4 linked regions of the Alligator mississippiensis genome follow. Each later gene encodes a partner of the first gene's protein in a complex. Links are inferred from orthologs where the notes say so. Each region holds a gene or a part of one and is shown on either strand. Other genes may lie near its edges. The genes, in order: SLC3A2, SLC7A11, SLC7A8 and SLC7A10.

Region 1 (6,847 bases):
CAGGGAGAACATGGGGGGGCAGGATTGGGCCTGGAGCTGCCCCCTCGGGGTCCCCAGCTTGGCCCCCAGGTGGCTCTGGCCCCTGCTGGGCAGGTGGAGTCGGAAGGGTTTGCAGACAGTCAGCTTGGCTGGGGGGCAAAGGGAGGGGCTGTTATACCCACCCTGTGCACCCCCCAGTGCCAGCTGCAGCCTGTTATAACCAGCCCGTGCCCACCCCAGAGCCAGCCACAACTCTCACCTTTCGTCTTCCTCTGCTCCAGTTGCTCCTGAATGTTCCTGTGTAGGGCTGTGAAGTCGGGGACAGACCTGGGTGGGGCAGGGGGTGCCCCCCGTCTCCTCCTGGACCTGGGGGACCGGGGCCACGCCCCCCCTTCGGCCAGGAGATGCTGGGACAGGGAGGCGGGGTGGTGCTGCGGGCAGGAGCTGGGACCCCGGGAGCCTTGCGGGGAGCCTGCCCCCCGATATCCACAACCCTGAGGCCTCCTGCCCCCCCTGTTCCTGCCCCCCTTGAAGGTCTCATCCCCGCCTTTTCTGCCCCTGGCCCCTTGACTCCTGCCCCCCTGGTCCGGCAGCCTGGTGGGAGAGCGGTGTGGGTTTGGGGAGTGGGGTGGGGATAGGAGCAGGCCCCGGCCCCCTGCGGCAGAGGGGTCCCAGAGCCACTGGAAGGGGAAGGAAGGCGGGCGGGCATCTGGCTCAGGGGTGCAGGGGGGGTTGTGGAGAGAGCGGGGGTGCCAGCTGGGGGGAGGGGGGGAAGAGAGAGGGACATGTTGGAATTGAACCCAGGCTTTTGAGTCCCTGGCTCTCACCTCCCAGCCCCACTCCCTTCCCAGACCTGCCTGCCCCCCTGCTCTGACCACCTCTAAAGCCAAAAAGAGCCCAGGCGTCCGGCCCCCCGGCCCCTGTTGCTCTAACCCCGCACCTCCCAGCGCCCCCCCAGCCCCACTTCCTCTCCTAAAGCAGGGAGTGAACCCAGGCGTCCAGGGCCCCCGTCACCTGTCAGGGGCTCGGTCTCTCTTGGGGGGAACCCAGGGTGCCCCCCGCCTCCGTCTCAGCACCAGCCGCCTGTCCCCTGCATCCAGCACCTCCTGGGGGCACAGAGGCAGCAAGTGGGGGGACAGAGAACGCAGGCGCCCGGGCACCCAGCCCCCCCCGGTCTCGCCCCCCAGCCCCCGGGCGTCCGAGCTGGCCTGCGGACCTCATTGCGGGGGTACCCCGCGAGCAGCCCCAGCAGCTGCACGCGCCCCTTCCTCTCGTGGAAGGTGCCAGGCACCCGGGCGCCCGGGTCCCGCGAGGGACGGACGCAGGCCTGGGCGAGGGCCGCCTGGCGGTGCGCCCCCGGCATGGCGGCCCTGTTGCTGCGGTGACGGGGGGGGTTCTAGAAGCCCCCCGCGCCGCTGCGGGTCCCCTCCGGCCAAGGTGGGCTGCAATGGGGGGGCGCGGGCCGGATGCCTGGACATCGCCCCGTCACTGGGGCACCTGCTGGGCTCCCCCTGCCCCGATCGGGGCCAGCGAGGACCCTGGCTGCCCACCCCTCCCCCCCCGCTCCACCCGATCCTGCTGTTTACATCCCTGTTTACACCCGGCGTGGCCCCGGGCCAGCCTGGGGAGGAGGATGCGGGGGAGCGGGGGGAGGAAAAGCTGAGGCTTGGCAGGACACGTCGTCCCCGAGGCCCCAGCCTGGCAGCCGGCCCAGACAGATCAAAACACGCTCCTCCCGAGCTGGGAAAGGGCCCAGGCGTCCGGCCTCACGGTGCCCCTGCTCCCCCCTGCCCCAGGCATCTGGCCCCCAGTGCTGACCCTAGCCCTGCTCCTCTCCCAGACCGGGCCCAGGTGTCCGGGCTCCCAGCCCACCCCCAAGCCCCCGGCGCGACCCGCAGCCCCCGCTGCCCTCCTGGAGCTGGGGTAGACCCGGGGCGGGGGCGCCTCGTGGGGTGGAGGGCAGGGCGCGTCGGGGGGTCCCAGTTGGAGCAGTGACCTCCGCCATAGCTGGGACCCCTCAGTCCCCACGGACCGGTCTGGCAGGCGGCGGGGAGCGACCGGGCTGGGCAGGGCACTGGATGCTACCTGGGCAAAAGAGGGGGGCACATGGGGAAATGAGGGGGTCTGGGGTGTTGTTTGGGGGGTACTGGGTGTTACTGGGACAAGGGCGCTACCGCTAGGGTGGCCATCATAGAGGACAGTCCGGTTTTCTGCTACTCCGCCCTCCATTGATACGAAACCGGATGCCTTAGGTCCTCTTGAAGAGAAAAGCAGAGGACATCAAGGCGTCCGGTTTCGTATCAACGGAGGACAGAGGACAACCGGACTGTCCTCTGTAATGGCCACCCTAGCTACCGCCCATGGCCGGACCAAGATGGCTGCCACGGAGCGTCATGGCTGCCGCAGGCAACTCCCAGATGGTTACCAACAGCTCAGTCGAGAGGGCGCGGGGCACCGTTCCCCACGCGCCATCTTGGTATCGCCAGCATCTTCTCAGCAGCCGTCTTCCTTTAACCTGCGTCACCCTGGCAGCCATCTTGTCACAGCTGCCAGCGGGAGAGGGAACCCCAACATGGCTTGTTAGTTGCGGGGGGTGGCGTTGTCTTTGATGATGGCGATTGGGAGCAATGGAAAGGGAGGACCAAGACGGGGGCCTGAGGGGGAATGGGACCAATATGGTGGCCTGAGCCGGGGGGGGGGGAAGGGGGGTTACGACACCAAAATGGGGCACTGACACCAAGATGGCAGCCGGAGCAGGAGCCATGTGGCACCACAATGGTGGCCCGAATGGGGGGGGAGGGGGCAGCACCAAGATGGCAACCTGAGGTGGGGGCACTGACACCAAGATGGGACCTGAGTGGGGAGGAAGCACCAGCATGGCGGCTGGGGGAGGTGGCACCAAGATGAGAGCATGAAGAAGGGACCTGGCACCAAGATGGCAGCCTGAGCGGGGAGGCGGGAAGGCACCAGCACCAAGATGGCAGCCTGAGGCATGGGGAGCCACGACGGCAGCCTGAGAAGGCATGTGGAGCCAAAATGGCAGCCCGGGGTGGGGAAGCATCCATCTCGTCTCTGCCAGGTGCCAACATGGCGGAGCTGGCTCAGAGCCTCGTGCCAGGCCCGGCCCCCCTCGCCCGGCGCCATGCTGGCTGGCTGTGGGGGTGCGGCCCTGCCTCCAGGGCACCATCTTGCTGCCGCCTGCCCCGTCCTGTGGGGGGGAGGGGGGGAGGAAGGTCGTGGGGGGCTGACGGGAGCTGGGGCGGGGGGCTACGGGGTCTGTAGCGGGGCTCGGGGGGCTGCAGGGGTTGGCTGTGGCTGTGTTTCGCTGAGTCGGGAGCTGGGAGGGGCTGACTCAGCGAATTGCCCCCAGAATTTGGGGCACCTCTGTTCAGACCCCCCATAGCCCCCGGGGGAAAAAATCAGGGCTGGGGGGGGTGCAGCTGGGGGGGGGGGCGGGACCTTGTGACGGCCCCCAGCCCCCGCCCAGGTCCTGCCCTTGATCCCCCCAGGGGTCCCATTCTCTGCCCCCCCCCGCCTTTGATCTCCAACTCTGCTGAGCGCCAGGAAGGAACCCGGCGGCAGAGCTCCCTCCTCCCCTGGCTGTCACCCGCCAGGCAGCCTGGCCGCCAGCTCCAGCTCCAGCTCCACCTCCGGGGCGGGGCGGACCCGGCCGTATAAAGCAGCGCCCCCGCCACCACGTTCCTAGATCATTTGGGAGCTCGGAGATCTGGTACTGGGAGCACTGGGGTGGGCTGGGGCTGCATGCGAGGAAGGGGGCGCCTGGAAGCACAGGGAATGGGGGGGCCTAGTGCTGCCCCCCCCAGCGAGGAAGGGGGTCTTGGCAGGAGCCGATGTTTGGGCCCCCCCACAACACTTCCAGCTCTGGGGGGGCTGCTGGGGTAGAGCGGGGGGGCTGGGGCCCGGACCCCGGCGCTCTCTCTCCCTGCTCTGGGGGGGCTGGTAGGTTGCAGCAGCAGGGAAGGGGGGCCTGAGGGCCCGGACACCTGGGTTCCCTTGCCCCCTGGCTGCCAACGGGTGTACTAGGACCGTGGGAAGGGGTCAGTGGGGTACAAGAGGGGACCCGGATGCCTGGCTTCCCTCCCCTGGGGGGACAAAGTCCACTGGGCAAAAATGGGGGGGGGAAGGGGAGCTGGACGCCTGGGCTCTTCCCCCTGGGGGAGCAGAGTCCAACAGGCTTGGTGGAGGGGGGGCACCCGGACACCCGGGCTCTACCTTTGCCCGGGCCTAGCCTGGCTGCAGGAGGGTGCTATACCTCAATCTCACAGCCTCCCTCTCTCCCCAGTGCCCCCCAGCACCGCCATGGAGGCAGACCTGAAGGACGTGGAGCTGAACGAGCTGGAGCCCGAGAAGCAACCCATGACACCCGCCAGTCCGGGAAGCCCGGAGAAGAACGGGGCCGTGAAGGTGAAGGTGGCTGAGGACGAGGAGGACGAGGGCGCCCCCAAGTTCACAGGGCTCTCCAAGGAGGAGCTGCTGCGGGCAGCCGGCACCCCGGGCTGGGTCCGGGCCCGCTGGGCCCTCCTCATCCTCTTCTGGCTGGGCTGGCTGGGCATGCTGGCGGGCGCCGTGCTCATCATCGTCCAGGCCCCCCGCTGCCGGCCGCTGCCACCCCAGACCTGGTGGCACAAAGGAGGCCTCTACCGCATCCAGCCCATGGAGGCTTTTCGGGACTCGAAGGGTGGCAACGCTGGGGACTTGGCAGGTGAGAGAACCCAGGCATCCGGGGCCTGGCAGCCCTCTGGTCTGAGCCCCAGCTGTCCCCAAGAAACCAGGCGTCCAGGCACCCCCTTCTGTACTGGCCCAGCAGACCCCATTGCCCTCCCCGAGCGGCGAGAGAACCCCGGCGTCCAGGGTAGGGGGCTGGCACCCCCTAATCTGACCCAGCAAGGCTGTGCTGCCTTCCACGAGGGGGGAGAGAAGCCCGGAGCCCGCTTACCCGCTCTGTGCTGACCCAGCAGACCCCACTGCCTTTCCTAAGGGAACCCAGGAGTCCAGGGGCTCCCCGTCTGCCCCAAGGGTGTCCCCGAGCGGGGACAACACCCAGGTCTCCGGACACTCCTGTACGACGGACCCAGCACACCCTATTGCTGTCTGAGTGGCAAAAGAACCTGAGCTCCCAGGCGGGGGCCCCTGACCCACAGCCATCTCCGAGTGGGGAGGGAGTCCAGGGGGACCCCAATACCTGCTCTGCGCTGCCCCACTGGACCCCACTGCCTTCCCTGAGTCGGGGGGGAGAAGCCAGGTGTCCGGGCTCCCCACGTGCTCTCAGCCCCATCTGCTCCCTGAACGGGGAGGGGAGAACCCATGTGTCTGGGGCCCCCAGCGCTGCCCCCCCAGCCCTGCCCCCCCATCTGAAAGAGAACCCGGGTGTCCTGGTTTGGGGGGATAGGGGTGGGCTTCCCAGCCCTGGCCGGCCAGAGCCGGTCTTGGCTGGCGGGTGTTACATCAGCCATGACATCACGTGTTGAGTCAGCACTTCTGGGGTAGTGGGCGGGGAGAGGAGTAAAGGTCGCGTGATTGGGTGTAGGGGGGGGTAAAGGTCACAGGGGGGATCAATTAACTGGGGGCTTTCTAGGGTGGGGGGGTTCAGTTAAGGGGAGAGGTCTGGGGGTCTCAGAGGGGGCTCGGGTTGGGGAGTGGGCGGTGGAGGTCTGAGTGGGAGGGGACCTGGGGGATATGGATGTTGGTGGGCTGGAGGGCGTGGGGGGGGCAGGTATCTCTGTAGGATGGGAGTTCCTAGGAGGTTGGGGGGGGGTCTGGGGAAGGTATGAGGGGGTAGAGGAGGGCTCCGTGCAGCTGGTAAAAAGTCTGGAGGGGGCTCTGGGTGGTTGAGGGTTGTGAGGATCAGGGGACTCTGGGGCTGGGGCGCCGCCCTCCTGACCTCCCATACCCCCCAGGTGTGAAGGAGAAGCTGGATTACGTGGCAGCGCTGGGGGTGCAGGGGCTGGTGCTGGGCCCCCTGCATGACACCAAACGTGACAGCCCCAAGGACACCAACCTGCAGAAACTCCACCCCCAACTGGGCTCCAATGAGACCCTTGCCCAACTGCTCGAGGCTGCCAAGAAGAAAGGTAAGGTGGGAGGGGGGGTCCAGGCCTGAATCCTGGGGCCCCACAAGTGGCTGTGGGGGAGGGGCTTGATACTGGTGGTCCCTGCTGGGGGGGGGGGTGAGAGGCGGGGCCCTGATCCTGGGGAGCCTGGGTGGGGTCATACCCTGGCTGGATGTGGGGGGGCGGTCCGGGGGCCCAGTCCTGACTGTGGATCCCCACCCAGGCCTCAAGGTGATCCTGGACCTGACCCCCAACTACCAGGGGCAGCAGCGCTGGTTTGGCCCTGGCGTCGCTAACAGCACCCAGTTCCAGAAGCAGTTCAAGGTGGGGGGGCAGGGACCAGGGCCTGTGGAAGCAGCTGTCAGCCAGGGGCTGTTTGGTCCCTTGGACTGGACTCCACCACTGGGGGGGCAGGGAATCTTGGGGGGACTCCAGGGGGGTCTGGGAAGTGTGGGGGGCAGGGAAGCTAGGGGGACCCCAGAGCATGTGGGGGAGCTAGGAGACTCCCAGGGGGTGTCTGGGGGGAGAGTGTGGGGTGGGGATTGGGGAAGCTGGGGGGGACCCCCAAGTGCGTCTGAGAGGGGCTGGATAGGGGGTAGAGGCAGCTTGGGGGGGTCTCAGCCATGGTGGAGGTACCAGCTGCTCCCCCCTGACCCATCTCTTCCCTGCCCCCCGGCAGGAGGCAATGACCTTCTGGCTGAATCAGGGCATCTCAGGGTTCCAGCTGGAGGCCGTGGATGAGCTGAATGTGAGTCTGGGGGGATCCTGAGAGTGGGGGAGGGGGTGTGGGGCATATT
Region 2 (7,656 bases), on another chromosome or scaffold:
TACATGAGACCCTGACTGCGCAGTAGCCCAATATTAGTGCACTGTAGTGTTGCATGGCAAAAAGTGTGATGCAACACTATTGCGCAGTAGTATTAGGCACAGTAGCATCACAAAGAAGGCATTCACTAGCACCACTGTACAGTAACTTGGGTTACTCCACATTTATTATCTTTTTATGCAAGTATTAAATTAACGCACAGTAATCATTCACACACATTAATCTCATGTAGACATGGCCACTTTGCAGAAGAGCAAAGTCTTTTAGCCAGGAGGATAAAATGTTCTCATCTCCATGTGTGGACAACATCAGTTAAGGAGAGGTGTATCTCATAAATACCGTTATAAATGGTTTAGTAACATGCAGGAATACAGAATCAATAGAACTATATGGTTTTAATAAATCATGGCTTGCAGTGTTATGATTGGTGATATATATGCAGTGGTCAAGGATGCAGTCCCTCAGTAAATAATGCTATAGCATTTTAAGGTATAAACCACATTTTTCAAAGCAGCACAACACTCAAAACCACTCGTATGCCCAGTGTTTTTGGTCACATACATACATGCATGTGATATAGTCTAACAATAGAGAAAGCACTACATAATATACATTTTTTTTCATTGATAGGGATGTATTCTACAGCCATTAAAACATGTTTTTATTAAGAACTCCATGCATATCGCACTTGCTTCGATTTGGGGCCCTGCTGAAGTCTTTGTGTGGTATTAATGAACGTAACTGATATTCTACCTAAAGTGATTGGAGAGTCACATTTAGAAAAACCTGTTGATGTGTTTTTTCTTGCCAATTTATCTGGAAGGTTGTAAGACAGAATCAGTTTGAAAGAAGCTGTTGTAATGCTGTAATCAGTATTTCATAGAGAGCATCACCAAGACCACTGGTAATGAAAAATAGTATGTATGACATTTTATCACAACATGAATGTATGACATTTTACAACGTGTGTATGACGTGAAAAAATGTATGACATCTTATCACAACATGTAAAGGCAGAGGGGAAAAATCAGAATGTACTATATTTAATCACTCTTCGTATACCACATAACTATGAAGGTTAATTTCAAATATCCTGTGTTCAGGCAAGGTGTGTCTCTAGTTTTATCTAAAGGCCAGCATATAACTGGATGCCAAATTGTGTTTACTTCAAGAAAAAGGTTTGGGTCTTAGGCAGTACCTTCAGAGTTCGATGGCAAATTACTGTTGTGTCTTATATTGTGCCTGTAATTAAATAAATTCAACCTCTGATGAGAAGGGGCAGTAACATTTTTCAACATTCTTTTTCATTCTTTGTATTTCTTCAAAACAATCAATGATCCTGGCCAATTTACCCAGGGCAAAATTCACATGTCCCATCTATTAAGCAGGCACGTGCTACTTAGTGTTTTCCCTCTTTACCACATGCCAGAAGACAAGTAGTCTGGATTTTAAATAAAGCCAATATTTGTGTCAGTTGCTCAGCTTTTTTGCGATTAACTCATTAAGTTGGTCAATAGACCTTCTGTTCCACATAATCAAGGGTGCTGATATCCATTGTGAATGCAGCTCTTTATACAACAAGACAAATAAACTGGCATTCATAAGGAGTTCTAATACTTTTACTAATGAAAATGTGCAAATATTGTAGCCAGATACATTCCAGAAGACAAAGTTCACAATATGTGCTTGTTTCGAAATTCCTCAATTTTGGGGGTGCAGTTTTTCATAAAATATCGTGAACTGATAAATGAAGTGACAAACAGTTGCAGAAAGTTTTAATTTAATTCAATTTCTTGCCAGTAACTGTTTTTGTCCAGAAGTTATTCATCTTAGAACTGGATCAGATGAGCAGGGAACTGAGAAAAGCTGTTTAAACATCTCACAGGTGTTCAAAATGACCAGCCCATCTCTCTAGCTTGCAAGCATGCTGTAAACTAATCCATACATTTAAAACAAGAACATCAAACATATACCACACTTCACAATACAGTAATGGATACTTCCCTCTCCTGATATATTAGGGATGCATTAAAAACACTGTTTGGTCTAGGGTCTTCATACAGCCCTTCAGTAGAGTTTTATGCCATAATGCTCATGATAGAGGCAATACTGATTGCACACAACTGTACCATTGAGAGAGCCCATCAAATAGCAAATAAGTATCCATAGCCTTACTGGTCCTCAAGCATCAGATTGATCTTTGATATCCACTAGCAAAAATAAGAAGAGAAGAATTCACCAGCTGTCCCAAAGGAGCAATTATAAACTTTGACTAACTTACCAAACAGTGAGAGGATACCACACACTGTCCAGACAACCAAGGACATTCCCACGCTGCCGGTGTTCTCCAGAATTCCTTTAGGAGAGATGAAGATTCCTGCTCCAATGATAGTACCAATTATAATGGATATGCCTCTCAACAAAGTTACTTTTTTCTTCAGCACTACTTTTTCTTCCCTCACTGGCTCTTTGCTGTCCATAGAAGGCAACCTGCCATTAGATTGCCCCTGCACATAGCTTCCATTAGTGATTGTAGGTACAGCAGGTTTCCTAAACATGCTAGCAATCAGCACACTCAAAACAAACAAAACTTTAAAAAAAAACTTTGTGGCAGACGCTCAAGGTTTCTTCCTCTATTTGTGAGTAGTTAATTGCTCTCCGTGCCTTTCCAATGCCTTCCAAGCTGTTCCTACACACAGGTAAACCATTCAAGGTGTATTTTTACTCTTCATTGAAATCTAAATGCTATTCCCTAACATCTGAACTCTCCCAGCACAGGCTGGTGCTGCCTTGTCATTGGAAACCAGTTCTGCTTCCGCGTGGACTTGTATTTAAGCTCCTGTCATACCAAGTTACTCGTGCTGAATGATGATGCAAATTCTGCAGGTTTGCATCAGCCATCTGGGATTATTCAGCACTTTTTTCTTTCTTTCTTTCTTTTTTTTTTTTAAACGGTAGGGGTATGTTGCACAACTGACCTGAGCTATTTAGGAAGAACAAAGCTCTCACTTAAAAGGAACCTTAACCTATCAGGCAGTAGTACACTAATGTCGACACATTCAAACACACTCCCAAGTATTTAAAAGAACTAGTAGTGAGACACAAAAGCCTGTTTCAAAATACAAAGCCCTTCAGCCAGAAACAAAAAAATCAAACAGGATACGTCATCTTTGGGTCTTCTCCAATTCTTTTTTTCAATACTATCTTTTCACTACCGTATACTTCAGGGTTTTCAACTGTTGTGTTTTGTTAGGTCTAGTTAGTTTGTCTAAAAATCTATTTTCTTTACCTGAAAATTGACATAGATCAGACACACATTTACAGAGACTACATATAACCCTTTTGCTACCTTATGTTGCCTAGCAACACATCCAAATCAGACTAGTGAAAAATGTAGGTTATTTCCATACAGTCATTCTCTCGTTAGTGTTTCTGTGATGCTTACGAGGAAGTTACTGATGAGAATCCCCCTGCAGGAACTCTTGTTAACATTTACAACAAACTCTTTTCAGATCTGATGGAACATTAAAGGGAATGCAGTGACTCAGATAACAGAAATTTGCATGCGACCATGATGTTTTTCTGAGCGGATTAACTGATAAATTCCAAATTCTTTACTTTCGTGTCCTTCTAACTCACATGAATTATTTTCTTTCAAACCACCACACCAAAAGTTAAAAACAAATACGCAAACAAAAACAGTTCATAAAACAACAAAAATAGTCCCTCAAGTCTTTATAATCTCACTGTACAGAGTACTATATGCCAAAGAGGGGAATCTTACATAACTTAAGTAGCGCAGCTGCTCATAGCTTTAGATTCAATCAGCGCAATGAGAAATTATTATTGCCTCACATACTCCCTTTACAGTTATTGCTTAATTAGCTCCAAGATGGAAAAATATATTAGCTGAACATTTTAGCATTTCAAAAGACAACACTATTCTTTGAGTGTATCCTAGTAATACACTCAGTGTAGAGCTGCACTCTTAACACTCTAGTTGTAAAACCCAAATCAATATTTTAAAAGACCTGTATTTTCAGGGGTTGTGACTTGTCTGTAATAATTTGTGTGGTGGTAAAACTATCTATAAAAACCTTGGCTGGTATTAATATACAGAGGTACAAACACAAAAAACACCATTTTTGCACATCTATTTGCACTGTTACAATGTTTTAAAGAAAGTTTCACTTCTTACTCTATACTCTTTGCATATCCACCATCAGATACTGTGATTTCTCCTCTAGTCATGGGTGATGGGTGCATTCTGAATCTGGGGGGCCACCCGCAAAAGCCACCGACCCTGTCAGGGGGGACACCAGCTCTACCAACAGCATCAGTGTCAGCTGTTGGGGGGCCACCAGCCCCGTCAGGGGGGGCACATGCACCCCCATGCACTCTCTACCAGTTGCCTATGCCTCTTCCTTAGTCTGTCTACCATGTGCCTGCTCTGCGCCTAGGTGAAAGAGCAATTAATTTTTTACTGAAAAACATTGAATACCACTCAGGTACATGCCAGTGAGGTACCTGGTCAAATTATTAACCACTGGCCTGGGCTGATGTTCTTAAACTGAATTTAAAGGTGCAGAATCACAAGCACGCAGCAGGGCTTCCTTAATCAGTGTCTCAGGGATATATGTTATGTATATACCCTTATATAGTCCTTAATCAATGCCTGACATTTATTTAAATGGGAAGGTAATTAAATGGGAAGGAGCTACAGATCAAAAGAAGTATTAAGCAAGCTTCCAGACAACTCCAAGGCAGCTCCCAGCAGTTCAGAGCTCTGCCTTGAATATTTGGTATAAACTTTCAAAGGAGTTAAAAACCTTCACATTTATTTGACCACAGGTCCTCTTTGCTTTTAGGAAGATAGCAACTCACATGGACTTCTGTGTGTGTATGTATGTATCATTATTTAACCAATAAGCTGTTCAATTAAAACATAAACTATGATTTTCTATATGTCTTTAGACCTTGGGATGATTTATCAGTAATAGCACTTACAGCTTTTACTTTAACTTATGATTTCCCTAATGTTGTATGAGTCCCTTGGGCACTCTTGGTGCATAGCATTAGTTGAAGTAGCCTATGGCCTTTCTAACTTAGTATCAGTGCTAGACCAAGAGCAGAAAAGAGGTAAAGTTATTTAAAGTCATGTTTTCACATGCCTTCTTGGCTGTAGCTGAGACTGAGAGTCTCTCTGAGTTCTCCTAATTCTGTGTAGAACCTACAATACTTTGAAGGGTCCTGCAATACAAATAAGTAACAATAGCTACTTTAATAGCAGCCTTCAACTACCTGAAGGGTGGTTACACAGAGGATGAAGCCCGACTGTTCTCAGTGGTGGCAGATGACAGAAGAAGGAGCAATGGTCTCAAGTTTCAGCAAGGGATGTTTAGGTTAGTTATAAGGAAAAATTTTTTCACGAGGAGGGTAATAAAACACTGGAACAGGTTACCCAGAGTGGTTGTGGAATCTCCTTCCTTGGAGGTTTTTAAGACTTGGCTAGACAAAGCTTTGACTGAGATAATGTAGCTGGGGATGGGTCCTGCTCTGAGCAGGATTTGGACTAGATGACCTCCTGAGGTCCTTTCCAACCCTCATTTTCTATAATTCTACTCAACAAAGTCAGAACAGTCACATTCAATTTTGAACAGCAGGGTTGTTAAGTAATAGAAACAAATCAGCTAAATTAAGGAAAGGCTTAGTTCTTGACATTGAACCTTTCTGTCGTCTTCTCTTGCTTCCTCACTAATCTCTGATTAACACCTACTACTTAACATACAGTCAGTTATTACATCTGTAGCTTCACATTTTCTCACTGGTCTGCCTTGCTTGAGGCAAGACTAATTTGGAGGAAGTGGCCTGCAAAGAAAGCTCCGTTGGTCCTGAAGTCCCAATAGGCTATCCAAATCTCAGGTTTGGGCATGCATGGATAAGGGCAGCTGCACATCCATTTACTGATGGGTGGAGCCCTGACTGCTTCTTTCAGCACGCTATCAGCAATGCTGAGCTGGCACAGGGAGGAGTAGTTTACAACTAGTACAGAACTGCTGTGAATTGCTACCCCCTGGAGCAAGAAGGGAATAGGGAGAGAATTATAGGTAAGGCACACTTCTTTTCTTGCAGTGCTTTCCTGTGCAGCCCTTAGCTACTGCTGTACCAAATCCTGTGGCTGTGAGACCATGGCAAAAGTTAGCCGCTTGACATTTGGGCTCTTACAATAAAAAGTAATCATTTGTGTCATCAACATCCCAAATTCTGCACAGAAAGGAGTAAACAACCCTGGGGCACTTTTAAAGACCAGAACAAAATTAGTCTTTTTGGCAAATTAGTTGTGACTTCTCTGCCATCTAAGTCTATTTCCAAGACAAGAAGGAAACAGTGACAGACACCTTAAGATCTCACAATCAATGTCATGCTTACCCAATCTATCCTGAGTCAGATGTGACCACAAGGAGTTACTTTCACTGGTAGTTTTAATTTAAATTGTTCCAAGTTAATGCAGGATTATGGCATTAGTAAAAAAAAACACAGCACAGTACACAGCCATATTCCCTAGGGAAGTCTTCAGGCCACCTGAAGCTTAACTTGTTCACTACTGAAAACATACTCTGTTAGACCTACAATTTTAATTTTTTAAGGCAATATCTCCTTCAGGATGCTGAAAATATTTTAGAGCAACAGGAAGCTCTCCCACAGAAAAGAAAATAAGATTTCACCTCTGCAAGCAATTGGAAAGATGCACAGCATTGTCGTATTTTCTATGCTATATTTTCTATGCAGTGTCAGGTTCATTTCCTGACCAAAAGTTTTAATACATAAACTAGATAAACAATGTAAAATGGTTTCCTCCTTCTGAACCTTACTATCACCATGTCATGAAACATTTATCTTTTTTATGCCAAACAAAATTCTTAATCAAGAGTAAGCCTAATGAATTCTCTATAGGTTTTTGCCTAAAATTTGCAGATAACTGAATTAGCATGTGACCCTGCTAGACCAATGGTTCTCAACCCTTTTGGATACACGGCACCCCTTATTAGACTTAAGACATCCCTTAGAAAATGCCAGCTCTTAGTTTTCAGTAGATTTTTGACTACAGGAAAATTAAACAGAACAATTCTTCAGTTGCAAAGAACTCAGAAAGACTAAAACAATCAGAATGTTTTTGAAACCATGAATTTCTATTTGAAATCTGTATGTTTATCTTGTGAATCATGCTTGCACACCTAGCCATGCTAATACTGGGTATATGCAGGCAATACCTTTGGATCAGCCTAACCAGGGTTAGATCAACCTAAATACCCATGGGTTCCCTGTAGGGCTCCCAGGAGCAGTAAATTGCTGTGTATACTGATCCTGGTCTAGTTTTGGGTGCCTTAAAGCAAGCTGCCTTGACCTAGACTGGGTACAATGAATGCTGATTTGTATCCATTGTGTGACACCCCATGGCACCTTTGAAAGTTTCTTAAGATACCATAAGGTGCCTTAGCACCCTGGGTGAGAATCATTGTGCTAGACCCTCCTTATGAGCTCCTCTTGATTTCAAGAACAAAGAAATAGCAAGATATTTAATCTATATGGTGAACAAACTTTTTAATCTGCTTTACATATTAAATTAGGATCTATGAATCACCATGTTCACAAATAAG
Region 3 (6,848 bases), on another chromosome or scaffold:
TGGCACCCCCTAGAGGGGACATCCCAGGGCAAGGGAGCTTGGCAGAGGGCCCTTTCCCTGCCATCTTATCAGGGTTACCACGTCTTCCTAATAAACAGGGCTCTGGAGAGGGACTCCGACCTCTGGGGCAAAAGGCATAGGGGTGGAGGGGCAGGAGACTCCAGGTCAGGAGTGAGGGGGACTGGTAGGGTGTGGGGGGATGGGCTAGGAGTGAGGGGCACCAACAGGATTGGGGGATAGGGCACTGCATGGCACCGAGGGAGGGAGCAGGGGGCTCTGTCTAGCTCTTGGTGCCCCCTGGCCCCCCCACCCACCGGCGTTCCCTGGCACCTGCTGAGCGGGGCCATCTGGAGCCGGATTAAGGGAGCTGAGGTTCATTCACGCTCCAGGGCTCTGCTTGCATCCGAGCGGAAAACCCAGACACTCCATCTCAGCCTGCCTGGCTGTTTGGACAAGGACCCCTTGCCCCAGGGCTGAGATGTGGCTGACTCTGGGGTGCAGGTCAGGGGGAAAGAGCTGTTTATAGCAGGGTCCTTGACCCTGCACTGAGATGCAGCCAACTCCAGGGTGGGATGCTTTGTGGGGTTGGTTAGACAGAGGCCCTTTGTCCAGGGCCGAGATGCAGCTGGCTCTGGGGTGGAATGCAAAGGAGGAACCTATACCTGGCACTGAGATGCAACCAACTCTGGGGTGGGACACTGTGTGGCTGGTTGTACTGGGATAAGAGCAGGGGGGGCCAAGATACAGCTAGCTCTGGGGTGGAGCACATGGCACAGAGTTACTTCTACAAAGCCAGGGAGGTCTCCAGTTCAGCTGGCTCTGGGGTGGGCTGCACTGGGGCTGTTCATACTGGTTGGGGTGAGGGGCATGGCGGCACTGGGACCGTGTGGAGCAGTGGCAAGCAGGGGAGGGGGGATCCAGCTCTAATCGGATCGGGGAAACCAAGGTGACAGCTCAGGGCTATTTATAGAGGCAAGCAAAGAGAGGGAATGAGGGAGGGGGAGAAGAGAGAGATGGAGGAAAAAGATGGAGGGATAGGAGGAAAGGAGAGAAAAAGTGGGGAGAAGGGGGGAGGTCTAGCCAGGCAGGCGGACCCAGGGGCCCTTTTGTGGGGTCCCCATGGCCCCCAACTCACCCACAATGATGCCACAGGCGCTGACCAGACCAATCTCCTTCTTGAGGGCTACAGCATCCCCTGCAGGCTCCTCTGGCCCATCTGGGCCTTTCTCGGAACCGCTTCGGCGCCGTGCCCCATCCTCCATGGTGGGTGGACCTGGACCACACTGGGGCTGAGCAGTGCTGAGGCTTGTGGGACACTGGGGCTGCTTCGGCTCGTTGGTTCTGGACTCGGGGGCAGCTTCTGGGCTCTGGGCCTCAGACCCTGGCAGGGCTCTGCCTCTCGGGTCTTAGCACTGGGTCAATAGAATCAGTCCGGCTCAGGCTGGCTTGCACCCGTGGACCAATCCTTCCAGCCAGCCCAAGTCCTAGGTGCTCTGGTCTAATCCCCTGGTGCCCTGGTGCTGAGCCGGCTGGTTCGGAGTCAGCCCCTTCTCCCTTCCTGGTCTCCAATCTGTACACTCGTCCCTCCAACTTGTTTACTCGTTCCCCTCTTCTGTGAAGTTGCCCCCAGCGGAGGAGGGGAGAGGGAACTGCGTCGAAACTCCAGACCGGTTTAATCTCGCTCCGTTTCCTCCTTTCCTTCCCTTGCTGTGCTCTCTGGCTCTGTGCTCCTCAGGCAGTCCCCTGCCCCACACTCCTCCCTGTGGGATTTTCTTGTTCCCTTCTTCTAGCAGAGTATTTTCTCTTCCCCGGGGGTATTTTCTCCGCCCCCCCCCCCGACCCCCCGCTTTGCTCCTACTTTCCCCCTCAGAGTTTTCTTGCTCTCCCTCCACTTAGGATTGTCACTCTCCTTCCTTCCAAGGGGGATCCTTGGATCAGATGCCTTGTACTCGTCCCTCGTGGATTTTCTCCTTCCTCTGTTCCGGCTGAGTGCTCTCTCTCCCCTCCGTGGTTTTCTTGCTCCCTCCTTCTGGCTCCCTCTGCTCGCTCCTACTGGCAGCCAGGCCAGCAGTCCACCCACAAATCTGTGCCCAAGCCTGCCTACGGACAGGCAAGCAGGCGTGGGTACCTTCTCTTCCTCTGTGGCCCTCTTTCTCACTCCCTCGCTCCCACTTAACACACCGGCTCCCTCCCATGAGAAGCTGGCAGACTCCTCCCCTACCCAGCCCACAGCCAGGAACACGGAGAAGAAAACAAGAAGGAGATAGAGGGAAAGAGAGGTGGAATGAACGGGACAGATGGACAGAGGGCAAGCCAGCCCCTCAGCTCCGGCTCCCTGGCCAGATCTGGCAGTGGGGAGTCTGTCTGCTCTGGGGGTCCAGGGCTGGTGGGTAACACTATGGTCCTGGGTGCCACAGGCTAAATACATCACACATACATCCCCACATCCCCAGCCCCCCATTCATCCCCTCTCCATCTCTGGGGTGTGGGCCCAGGCTCTGGAGGAGCTGCTGGCCACCTGCTCGCCCATCCCCCTGCACTGCCTCCTTGGCCATCGGCCCTCCTTGGCTATCATCCCTCCTTCCCATCAGGACCTTCGCCCCCACTTCACCCTGCTCAGAAGCTGATAACGGGGCCCAGCCCGGACTTTCACCCCAGTGGGCGGAGGACGATGTGCTGAGCAAGGGGAAGCGAGGACAGAGGCCTTGGGGATAGAGCAGAGAGGGGGAGGGGACAGATGGAGACTGGGACAGACAGACAGGTCGCTTGGATGGAGATGTCCAGACTGGAGAAGGAAAAGCTGGGTGCGCTTGCTGAGGCACAGAGTGCTCCCCACCTAATCTGAGGAAGGGGGGGCATTCCTCTGCCCACCCGGGCTGCTCACGGCTCCAGAGAAACAAGGGGAAATCACTGTCCCATTCCTCCCCCCCCAGCTGGCTGAAAGTGGGAGACAGCTCGGAGGGAAGGAGGGTGCAGAGACCCCCTGCCCCCCAACCAGCGCTGTGCCCCAGGCCAAGACTCCAGCGATCCACAGGAGCAGCCTGTGGGCTATTTCCCTGCCCCCTCAAATCCCCCTGCCATGGGGCAGCCAATGGCACCCAGCTTCCCTGCCCCAGCACCCCTACACCTGCCCCAGACTGCCCCCTTCTCCCTACACTCAGACCTGCCCCCAGCCCCTTCCTTGCCCCAGAGCCTCTCCCTCCTGCCCCAGGTCCTCCCCCTAACTGCCCCTCCCCCTCCTGCACCCCCACTACCTTGTTTGCCCCAAACTCTCTCCCCGTTACCCCCATACTCTTTCCTGCCCCTAGTTGCTTCCCCTAACTACCCCAAGCCCATGCCGTCAGCCCCTCCCCCTCCTGCCCCAGCACCTCCCCCTAACTGCCCCTCCCTCCTGCCCAAACCCCTTTTCCTAACTGCCCCCAAATCCCTCCCCCCTGCCCAAGCCCTGCCCCATAACTCCCCCAAAGCCCCTCCCCTAACTGCCCCCAAACCCCTCCCTTTTACCCCAGCCCCTTCCCTTAATTACCCCGCCCCTGCCCCAGCCCCTCCCCCCGCCACGGCTCTTGGTCTTTTCCCGCCCTTTTCCAACTGTCACTCCCAGCCTCGTGCCCTGAGGTGCCAGGGTTGGGGAGGGGCCCCTCATTCCCACAGCTCATTAGCCCCCATCCCACTAATTAACACCCGCTGAGCCCAGGGAATGGACTGAGGGGTCCTTAGTAGCCAACAATTAAGCCCTAATTTAGTGCCCTGGAGTAATTAATACACTGATAAATCACGGCCCATGAATAACCAGCTTCCTCCGACAAATTACAGTACCAATGAGCATTAATACAAGAATGAGCAACTGGCCATGGAAAGGCAACAGCCATCCCTAGTTACTATTTAATGCATCAAGTGCCCATCAATAACCTATCACCTCTAGTTAATACAATTAATCTCTTGACTACATATATTATTAACAAACAAGCTATCAATAGTCAATCATTCCTAATAAGAACCATTAGCTTAACATCCTACCAATAACCCATGGATAAGTAAAATATACCTGAAAAAACATCCCATCGATCCCTAACCCCTTCAATTAATAGTTTATGGATAATTAATATAATGGCTAACAGTGACCTAGCATATAGATACTTGCCCATTAATGAATAATAGCACTTTCCTAGCCAGTCACCTATTTTTCGGAATATACTGAAACCATAGATAATCTAACAATAATAACCTATCAATACATGTTACTCTTCCATAACTAATATGATTTATATTCCATCCATGGTCATACATTTGCAAATTAAATGTATGACCATGGACAGAATAACCTGTGGGGTTCAATTAATCTCTGATAACCTGTGAGGTTCAATTAACTGATGAATAATGTAAATTACATGTAATAAAAACCTAATTAATAATTGATAGTTTTTACATTATTGAATACAAATAGTCCTCACCCCTCTTCAATCAGTGTTAATCCATACCAAATTAATCTCCCATCATTTCTATGCATTTGAGATAACGCTTGGTGTAATTAATATATGAATGGGTCAGAGATTTTGAATAACCTATGACTCCTAACGGATTACATGATTTATAAGCCAGAGGTGGCTGATGAATATATGAAAATAGTGGTCTACTAATGGCTAGTCATCTCCAATTACAAAATTGTATCAATAAATTACCCAGAGTAAAATAAATAATAGGTCAGTGTTTATCAAGACTCCGCAATTCTAATGTACTGATGCAATTCAGAGCTGATGATGATCAATTGACCCTTCCTAATCATTACAAGCTCATAAAAAGTAACCTCATGAAAAAGCACGTTATTTAATAATTAGCCAATTAATCAGAGTTCATAGCTTCATAGTTTTGATGTTAGAGGCTGGAAGGGACCTTACAGATCATCAGGAATGGCCATAAATAAATAGCCTATGATTAAATGACCTACAAATATTAAATAGATAGTGAATCAATGCAGCACCACACCTGATAAATAAGCAAAAACAATAAACTAGTAGTGGAGTCTAATCAGTATATAACCCCTAAGCATTGCTAAATACATAATAGGTGAAGCATAATGACAAACTAATACAAATCAGTCAAAAATTAATAAATTACCAATGCAACAAAATTAAATAGCAAAAATGAATTATCAACATAATTAATGGATAGCCATTGCTAACAATAATATTTAAAATAAAAATAGGAGCAACAGATTTTATTATCTAACCCTGGCTAATTCATATTCTAAAGTTAGAAGGCTACGCTGTGGACCTATAAATAAGCTAGCAAGTCATTGATAACATTTGCAGTCAATAGGCCACCATCAAGTAATGAACTGTAATGCATAAAAAGATAGCTAATATAAAACAGCAATGCTTATAATTAACACATAAGTAATATTTGATAATTGTATCCACTCATCTTCCACATACAGACATATCCTGTCCACCACCAAGTACGTCTGAATATCCATCTAGCCACTTCCCTCCATCTCACCATCCATCTAGCTGAACATCCCTCCCTCCATCTCTAACAGTATCTCTGTCTCCTGGATTATCCATCTCTCACCCCCAACCTGGGCCCTTGTGGCAGTAACTCCTCCTTTGTCCATCTCCTCACAGCATGGACTGGTTCCACTGCAACCAATGCTTTCATCAAAATGGGGCAGAGTTCTCCATCACCAGCTGTGGACACATTTTCTGCAGGAAGTGCACTGGCTGTGGTGAGCGTAAGATCATTTTGATACAGCTCCTAGCCTGAAGGCCTGGAGTAAGAGAGTAGGGCAGAGGTGGGCAAAATGTGGCCTGTGGGCCAGATGCAGCCCTCCAGGCCATTTTATCCAGCCCATGGGGCCCCTAAAAATGTAGAAAATTAATATTTATCTGCCCCTGGCTGCCTGCCGTGCGGCCCTCGATGGCTTGCTAAAACTCAGTAAGCAGCCCTCCGCCCAAAATAATTGCCCACCCCTGGAGAAGGGCATGGTGCTCCTCCATAGGACTCTAACAACACTTGGATCACTTGAAATATTTTCAAGGAAAAAAATCCTTCAAAAACTAAATTATTTAGTCTAAAAGAGTCAGTTTTCAATAAGTCTAAAGGACAAAGAAACTTCCCTGGGACTTTTTTCCCTTTGAAAATTAACCTTTCCCTAAAGAGTTTTCTGATGAATTTGGAAGAGAATATTTTTTACAATTGTAATTTAGAAATGAGATGTGGAGGACAGAATCCCAATTTCTTTCAATGTTTTTCTTCTTTTACTATTTTCCCATTAGAAAAAGGAAGGACATTGTTAAAAAGAAAGCTAAAGTGAGGGGGAAGAATACCATTTTGCACATGCTAACTTTATCTTCTGAATAAAAAGTGACAGAAAATGGAGGAAATACACCTCTTTACATTTTATTACTGTGCTTATTTATTTTAACTTTTCACACTGGGAGACTATGGTGGTGGGGAAGGTGGGGAGTCTGCAAAAGTGTATTACATGTACATTTTTCTAATGGAAAGCAGTGAAAATAGCTTTTAAAATGCTAAAATACAAGTTTTCTCCATGTTTTCCCCATATCCTCTGCAGTGTTTTTTATTGGAAACATGTAATGGAAGTGAGGGAAATCAATATGTTAAACTATTTTTTTTTCCAGGGAGGACAAAAAGAAAAAAGAAAATGAGGGAGAGAGATATTTGTTTCTCCTTTGATTTTTATCTTTCAGCCTCTTTTTTTTTTTTTTTTTTTACAAAGCAAGGGAGAAGAGAAGTCTAACGGAGTGTGTTCCTACATACAGAAACTGCTTTAAATATCCCCATATAGTTAAATCCATATAACACCCTCTGATGGAGACATAATATTTATA
Region 4 (7,063 bases), on another chromosome or scaffold:
ACTTTATCAAGGTTCAGAGTAATGTATACACTATAGCCTTATGGTCTGTTTTGCAGCGTTTTGCTGTTAGTAATACAGCTGCTGTAACCCCTCCAGGAGCAGAATAATTGGACATAACTCAGTCACAATTACCCCCACCACCTCCCTTACTCTGGAAGAGGCAGGCATGTGTGGATACACCTGCATAGCTATTCCACTTCGACTTTTTAGAGAACGTGGGGAAGGGGAGAAACCAGTTTCTCCATTATCTATTTGCTCACAGTAGAAAATATGGGACACTGCTCCACACACACACACTTTGATGTGGCTAGGTCAAAATCTGAGCTAGATATAAAGGGTAAGCATTAATTTTACTTCCTTGTGTAGGTGACTGATGGGTCTAACTACTTACTCCAGGGGTGCTTGGCCCCTGCTACTATCATCCGGCCTGCAGGGCTCCTCATGAGTATATACGGAGCTCTACAGGCTGTTGCCCTGCATGCTAGAACAGGCATGTGTGGCAGCATGGGCTCCAATCCCCCAGACTGGACTAAGTGGAGGCAGCATGGGGTCCTGGAGCCTCAATCCTGGCACTAGGACAAAGCAGAGGTGATGTGGGGCCCCAATCTGGGTATATGGGGCTGGGCAGAGGAGGAGAGCCCTGATCCTGGTATGTGGGGTTGGTACAGGGCCCTGTAGTCCTGATCACAGCACATGTGGCTAGACCAGAGTGGTGCAGGGCCTTTATCCTGATGCATGGGGCCAAGTAAGGGCAGTGCAGGGTCCTGGGGCCCAGTCCAGATGCAAGGGTGGTACAGGACCCAGTCCCAGTGCACAGCGTCCACTCCAACCTGCAGACCAGCCCTGTACCTTTCTTCTGGCCTGCAGGGCCAAAATGTTGAGAACTACTGATCTAGTCCAACAGAAGAAGTTTAATACAGTCTACAGCAGTCACTTCACTACCACTAAAATGCAACCGATTGTGAGGCAGACACAGAAGCAGTCGAACAGAACATAGCAACACTACACAAGAGTTGAGAGCAGGACATGAATAAGAACAGTATCAGGAGTTTAAGTAAAATATAATTACTCGGGCTGGAGCCTGGCTGGGGTACAAGTCGGATGGCCTAGCTCTTGCACAAATAATGTTAATACTTTTTAATGCCACTGGCCCTTAATAATTACAGGTGGTAAGGACCCAACTTTTACATCTTACCCAAAAGAGAGAGAAGTTGCAAATTTATTTTCATTTGGCCTTCATACTTGAGGCTTCATCCAAACATACTTTTCAAGTGAATTAAGAATTTGAGGTATTTTGAAATCTATAATAAAAATAGGTAGTGAATCAAGCCATTAAATTAAATCACCCCAGAATGAAGATGGTTAATTGAATGAGACCCTGCACAAATTATGTTTAAAAAGACCAGTCCTGAAGACCTATCATGAACAGTCTGTTTAATTTATGTGACTAAAGCTTGCAGGATTCCGCTAAGGATACTGTAGGATTCTGTATTGATATAAGCATGTAAATCTCATTAGTATCTATTTGGATTACATATGCTTATCGAAGGAAACAAATGACTGCCTATCATGTAGGTGCTTTAATATTCAATACACACCACGCAAGTTGCTAAAATGAGTTGAGATAAATGAATCGAAAATTCATATAACAATAATAGACTACTGGAAAAGTAGTAAAGATATTTTTACACTTTAGCACTACAACAGGACTTGTGTGCAGCACGCTGACGGGTCAAGGAAAATGCTGCAAGTAGCTGAGGTTCAGACTGGCTTGATTTCAACGATAGTTCATAATTCACCAGGAGTTGTTAACCCAATACTAATGTAACTTCTAGCTGTGGTGTTAATAATTTTGTAAAATGTGTGTGGCGGGGGGAATCCTGGTAAAGTGAATGATTTCCTTTCAAGCCTAGCAGCATTATGCATAAAAAAGGGTGGAAAGGACTGTGGACTTTTGGCTTATGGAGCAGGCTCACTTTCTAAATCTGTGAGGCATGCTGTTTCCTCTCCTAACTGCAATGGTAAGATGCAAGAACTCCGGAAACAGGTACGAGCTAGCCCGCATGGAGAGAAATAATCTCCACCACAAACCAGAATGGGGTTTCAATACAGCCAGGACATCAGGACTGAAAACATTCAAGTCGCTCTGCTGGGTTCATACAGCACTGTCTCAGGACGTGGAAGACATCTCTACCACACTAGGGTCGTGTGCTGAGCTTCACGGCAGCTAACTCTGGGAGCATTACACTTCCAAACCTGGACTGTCAGGGAGAGACGACTTGGAAAGTCAGGCTTGATACCAAAAGGTGCTCCTGAAGTCGTGTGGCTAAGGCTGGACGTCCCGGCTTGCCACTTTGGGACTTTACTAGTATTGCAACCTTTCTCTAAGGAGCGGAGCAGGCTCGGGCTCCCCGCCAGCTCGCCCGCTGATCCGCGCCGCCCTCGGGACACGTCGCGTACCCCGATGTCGGGCCTCAGGGGCACGACGAGTCCAGGGAATCTCAGCCGGGGCCTGCGGCCATCATAGGGGGCAGCGCGGCCGTCCTCTATTGATAGGAAGCCGGAAAAAAATGTTCTTGAGAAAAGCAGGGGCCGTAAAGGCATTGGCTCTCCTATCGAGAGTGGCCAGAGGAGCAGAAAACCGGACTGTCCTCTATGATGAGCATCCTTAGGGCCACGCGTGGCGGGTGGAGCGGGACGTGGAGCTGCACCTGCACACGGGCCGGGCCCGGCTCGCCCTGCCCTGCCCTGCCCTGCCCTGCCCTGCCCGCTCTTGGTCCTACCTATGATGATGGCACAGGCGCTGACCAGCCCGATCTCCTTCTTCAGCGCGACCCGGTCCGCGCCGGCCTCCGCCTGGCCCGGCGGCGGCGTGGGGGCGGCGATGCTCTTGCCGAGGGGCTGCGGCTGCGGCTGCGGCTGGTCCTCCCCCGCCATCTCTCCCCGGCGCGCCGCAGCTCTCCGTCCCTGCCGCCCGGCCCGCCAGCAGCTGCAGGAGCTCAGTGGCTGGCGCATGCGCTGCCCGGCCCGGCCCGGCGCGCGAGGGGGGCGGCCACTGGGCTGGGGCTGGGGCTGGGGAGCGCGGGGCGCGGCAGTGGGCTCGGGTGCCTGGGCTTCAGGTGCCGGGGCAGGGGGGAGGGAGGATCCCTTGGCTTCAGGTCCCCAAGTTCAAGTCCTAGGGGCTGGGGAAGGGGGCTGCCTAGTCTTCAGGTGCCCAAGTTCAGGTGCCGGGGCAGGGGGGAGGGAGGATCCCTTGGCTTCAGGTCCCCAAGTTCAAGTCCTAGGGGCTGGGGAAGGGGGCTGCCTAGTCTTCAGGTGCCCAAGTTCAGGTGCCGGGGCAGGGGGGAGGGAGGATCCCTTGGCTTCAGGTCCTGGGGGCTGGTCACAGCGATGGTCACCCTGGCGCGGGGTGGGGCAGGCAGTGTCGGCACCCGCAGGTGGGGAAGCCCAAAGATGTCAAAAAGAAAGGCAGCCGAGCCGTGTGCCGCAGCAGGACGGCTCCCTTGTGTCAAAGCCAGGAGTGCAAAGCAAGAGGTGGCGTTTCCCGGGGGGGTCTGGGTCTAAGAAGAGGCTGAGAACCGCTCAGGGGCAGATCTAGGGGTTGGCAGAGGGGGTGCGGGTGTGCGGGGCAGCACCTGTGTTTCTCTGTAGCTCCAACAAAACAAGAGGCTTTCGTCACAGACCAGGGGCCAGCGAGGGATGATTTGGGTGAAGAGACAGGCAGAAACAAACAGCACTTCATTGGAAGGCATGACAAAGAGTCCCCAGGGCTGGGAGGTAGCGGGGTTGCAGAGAGCAGGGAACAGACAGCAGTGTGGTAGACAAAGGCTGGCTCCACTGATGGAGCATCAAGATCATTAAAAAGGAGATAGGGTTGTTAACACCTCTCAGATGAAGAGTATAGAGGGGATCAGGTGGGTGACACTGAGCCATGAAATCAATGGACCCCCTCAGTACTGCCTGAAATGCTGCTGCCGTGGCCAGGAAGCTGGTTTTAAACCTTGGCTGGAGCAGGAATCAAATGGGGAGGGGGGTGCAAGTGTCCCAGTGTGCCCCCTGGATCCACCCTGGGAAGTACTGGTCTAGAACGGCTTATGGTGTTGAAACAACACTTAGCTGTCCCTGTGCGCTTGGAGAGCTGTCCCATCCCCGAGGCTAACCGGGTGGATGTGGTGGTGCTGAAGTTCCTAAACACAGGGCAAGGCAGGGTTTCCTTCCGAGAACCTCTGCATGCTGCATCAGGTAAGCACCATGTCACAGCACATGATGCACACTAAGCCTTACCTTGGGGGTGCCTTTAAATCAGGCTTTGATTAGGATTTCCTTCTTTAAATATTTCATGTTGTATTTCTTGGGTGGCTATTTCAAGCTTCATGTTGCTGTCTCTCCAATAATGCTTACTATTGGAAAAGAAAGGGAAAAACAAACTGCTTTTGCTGTTTGCATAGAAGCACTCTGCCAAAAACTTCAAAGGATCAATATATGTAGTTTATTCTGGTAATGTGGAATATCATAACAGGTTTTTAGGTTTGTTTTTGTGTAATGGGACTCATAGATTCATAGATGCTAGGGTCAGAAGGGATCTCAATAGATCATCGAGTCTGACCCCCTGCATAGGCAGGAAAGAGTGCTGGGTTCAGATGACTCCAGCCAGATGCCTATCTAACCTCCTCTTGAAGACCTCCAGGGTAGGGGAGAGCACCACCTCCCTTGGGAGCCCGTTCCAGACCTTGGCCACTCTAACTGTGAAGAAGTTCTTCCTAATGTCCAGTCTAAATTTGCTCTCTGCTAGCTTGTGGCCATTATTTCTTGTAACCCCTGGGGGTGCCTTGGTGAATAAAACCTCACCAATTCCCTTCTGTGCCCCCATGATGAACTTATAGGCAGCCACAAGGTCGCCTCTCAACCTTCTCTTGTGGAGGCTGAAGAACCTTCTCTTGCGGAGGCCTTTTCTTATTGAATAATGTTAGCAGAAACAAATAGTTTGGCCATAGTGGAGCAGGCTTCCAGCATTATTCTCTGGGCCTGACTTGAAAAGGAGGATTGAAAAAATTGGTGCATTTCTCTTAATCTTGGCTATTTGTGTAATGTGACAAATTAGGGTTAGATGGCTGATGGTGTCAAGTCCCAGAAGAGTTCTGGTAATGCAATGGTGAGGGTCTTCCATTACAGTCCGTTATGGAGGTTATGCATTATTGGGACCAATGCGATGTTCTAGCCAGAAGCCTGACTCAGAGGGGTCTGGTAAATTCGCTGGGGATAGCTGGAGATGGTTTTATATGTGTGTTTTGATGATCTTGTTCAAGAATGGGAAATTAGTTGGCAAGATCATAGGGCTCAAGGTGTCTCCTTTGGTGTTGGCTGGAATATTGTGAGGTTTAATGTGTTTGGTAGATAACCTTCTTCAAATGTGGTACTGACAATGTCAGTCAGTAAAAGCCCAAATTAATTCACAGTGTTTTTTACTAACAAGGAAGGGAACGGGGCTGAAGATAAGTCCACCTGCATGCACTGCTATGTAGCTTGCAAGTGCAAGTCAGGCAAGCTATCTTTCCCTCATTCACACTGTTTTGTGCCCAGTTCATGTTCCTGAGTCTATACTATGTGTGCTCCACTGGGTTTTGTAGTGCTGCATGGAGTAGAGCCCTTCTAGGAATGTTACTGTGGGACAGTTTGTGTTTCCATAATGGTGCTAAGGGCAGGAGTTATTTTAGTTTGCCAGCACATAAAGGTTTGTTAGCTTAGCACAATACTCAGCTCTGTGTGTGTAGCAGTGTTTAGAGCAATGGATCTCATGGTTCTTGCCCAGCTGTGTGAGGTGGAGTTGTTCAGGGAGATGCTAGGGTCTTCCGGGCTGGATGCAGAGGACATAAAAGAAGCATAAAAGAGAGGTGATGGTTGTTGCATTATCCCCATCTGCATGCTGGCATTTCTGAGGCAGAGGAAGTAGCATGGTGTGGTGTGATCATGCAAAGTGCATAAACATGGAATAGCTAGCAGTGGCTCCAGGATGTCCATGTGAGGAAGCAAGGTATTCTTTGGTCTGGGTGTAAAACTTGCCGTAACCTTTAGGTGCCACTGTATATTGCTGAAGGAGACCACCCTGGTGCAGAGGTAGATTGTTATCTCTGCCTGAAAAATGAATACCTAGGGCTGCTAAAGGTCTCTGGCTAACCAACTGGGTGTTGACAAATCACCTGTCAGCCTGGTGAGGGGGGTGAAAGTTTGCAATGCTAGCCTGAAAGTTTCTGGCAGGTTTTGAGTATGCCCAAAATAATGTCTGGATGACAGAGGATGGGATTCTCAAGTTGTGCTGGGACTATTTGTTACCTCCCTGAAAGAGCCAGTGAATAAGTTAATAGAAGCAAGAGCTTCACTAGTTTTCAGGGCTTTGTGGACCACAGAGGCAATCCACATATACCAATGTAGGAAACACCAGCCGGAAGCAGTACAGCAGGGTTCTCAGTAGATAGCATTTACATGCTTGAACAGCCTTGGAGCCTGGGGCTCCAAGTTACTTCTATCAAGGTGTTCGCTCTTTAGGAGGACCCAGCTGTCCTCTCCTGCCATGTCTTAGAAGACAGTGTGTAGACGCTGTGCTGCTGCACAGAAAATGCAGTCACATTCTTATCTGCAGCATGGTGCTACAGTGCATATTTGAAAGGTCAAAAGAAGGCAAGCCATCCCCTACAAACTCATTTGGATGGCAAATGTTGCAAAGTCCATACATATGATATTGTGCTTTGTTGTGTCCTGCACAGCACCTCTGAAGTTTGAGGCAAATATTTTCACACAGAGTGGATCCTAGACCCTTAGGAGCTCCTTAGTGGATATGTGCTACCAGAAAGCAGTAGGGTTGCTGGGTCATGGGGGCCATTGGGGTGCCATTGTTCATTTACCTCCATGCCACAGTGAGTAATGTGTTGCTAACGCACGTGCTGCTTTGTGTATAGTGGGGCCTGTTGTTCTAATATATTACAGGATATTAAAGTGCCTGTTGTGCTTTTTTTTTTAAATTCCTGGTGTAAGGCACTACTCATCTGTGTGGGGTACATTGTGCCTG

Evidence for each region.
Region 2: the proteins of SLC3A2 (region 1) and SLC7A11 are in contact, whole or in part, in a cryo-EM structure (PDB 7P9V), measured with the Homo sapiens proteins. The link is inferred for Alligator mississippiensis from reciprocal best matches to the Homo sapiens genes SLC3A2 and SLC7A11. Residues at the interface, in NP_002385.3 of Homo sapiens: Glu167, Leu170, Ala173, Trp178, Thr181, Arg182, Phe189, Trp190, Trp193, Met196, Leu197, Gly199, Ala200, Ile203, Ile204, Ala207, Arg209, Cys210, Glu212, Leu213, Lys299, Arg534, Gln559; in NP_055146.1 of Homo sapiens: Leu151, Phe154, Phe155, Ile156, Gln157, Cys158, Glu159, Pro161, Leu163, Ala164, Leu167, Ile168, Ala170, Val171, Thr174, Val175, Val178, Gln217, Gln219, Val360, His373, Thr487, Gln489, Ile490, Ile491, Glu493, Val494, Val495.
Region 3: the proteins of SLC3A2 (region 1) and SLC7A8 are in contact, whole or in part, in a cryo-EM structure (PDB 7CMI), measured with the Homo sapiens proteins. The link is inferred for Alligator mississippiensis from reciprocal best matches to the Homo sapiens genes SLC3A2 and SLC7A8. Residues at the interface, in NP_002385.3 of Homo sapiens: Thr162, Gly163, Leu164, Ser165, Lys166, Glu167, Leu170, Ala173, Gly174, Trp178, Arg182, Leu185, Phe189, Trp190, Trp193, Met196, Leu197, Gly199, Ala200, Ile203, Ile204, Ala207, Arg209, Cys210, Arg211, Leu213, Lys532, Arg534, Asp558, Gln559; in NP_036376.2 of Homo sapiens: Leu147, Leu150, Phe151, Pro152, Thr153, Cys154, Phe155, Pro157, Ser159, Gly160, Leu163, Leu164, Ala166, Ile167, Leu170, Leu171, Trp174, Gln294, Ser352, Met356, Val359, Glu481, Thr484, Leu485, Gln488, Lys489, Met490, Cys491, Val492, Val493.
Region 4: the proteins of SLC3A2 (region 1) and SLC7A10 are in contact, whole or in part, in a cryo-EM structure (PDB 8WNT), measured with the Homo sapiens proteins. The link is inferred for Alligator mississippiensis from reciprocal best matches to the Homo sapiens genes SLC3A2 and SLC7A10. Residues at the interface, in NP_002385.3 of Homo sapiens: Phe161, Thr162, Gly163, Leu164, Lys166, Leu169, Leu170, Val172, Ala173, Trp178, Arg182, Leu186, Phe189, Trp190, Trp193, Met196, Leu197, Ala200, Ile203, Ile204, Ala207, Pro208, Arg209, Cys210, Arg211, Glu212, Leu213, Arg534; in NP_062823.1 of Homo sapiens: Leu147, Val150, Phe151, Asn153, Cys154, Pro157, Ala160, Val163, Leu164, Met166, Ala167, Met170, Leu171, Trp174, Ser352, Val359, Glu481, Thr484, His485, Trp486, Gln488, Glu489, Leu490, Phe492, Val493, Val494, Tyr495, Gln497.

Annotation. Positions count from the first base shown.
Region 1 is NC_081838.1:4,476,117-4,482,963, reverse strand, and holds the start of SLC3A2 (amino acid transporter heavy chain SLC3A2), read left to right. Parts: upstream 1-3,830; coding exon 3,831-3,939; intron 3,940-4,282; coding exon 4,283-4,702; intron 4,703-5,897; coding exon 5,898-6,071; intron 6,072-6,273; coding exon 6,274-6,374; intron 6,375-6,729; coding exon 6,730-6,798; intron 6,799-6,847. UniProt on the Homo sapiens protein: Acts as a chaperone that facilitates biogenesis and trafficking of functional transporters heterodimers to the plasma membrane.
Region 2 is NC_081825.1:106,127,172-106,134,827, reverse strand, and holds the start of SLC7A11 (cystine/glutamate transporter), read right to left. Parts: upstream 3,008-7,656; 5' UTR 2,557-3,007; coding exon 2,280-2,556; intron 1-2,279. UniProt on the Homo sapiens protein: Heterodimer with SLC3A2, that functions as an antiporter by mediating the exchange of extracellular anionic L-cystine and intracellular L-glutamate across the cellular plasma membrane.
Region 3 is NC_081830.1:7,398,130-7,404,977, forward strand, and holds the start of SLC7A8 (large neutral amino acids transporter small subunit 2), read right to left. Parts: upstream 3,010-6,848; 5' UTR 1,263-3,009; coding exon 1,136-1,262; intron 1-1,135. Other genes in the region: RNF212B (RING finger protein 212B), read left to right, coding at 5,623-5,722. UniProt on the Homo sapiens protein: Associates with SLC3A2 to form a functional heterodimeric complex that translocates small and large neutral amino acids with broad specificity and a stoichiometry of 1:1.
Region 4 is NC_081833.1:60,547,979-60,555,041, forward strand, and holds the start of SLC7A10 (asc-type amino acid transporter 1), read right to left. Parts: upstream 3,003-7,063; 5' UTR 2,938-3,002; coding exon 2,784-2,937; intron 1-2,783. UniProt on the Homo sapiens protein: Associates with SLC3A2/4F2hc to form a functional heterodimeric complex that translocates small neutral L- and D-amino acids across the plasma membrane. Preferentially mediates exchange transport, but can also operate via facilitated diffusion.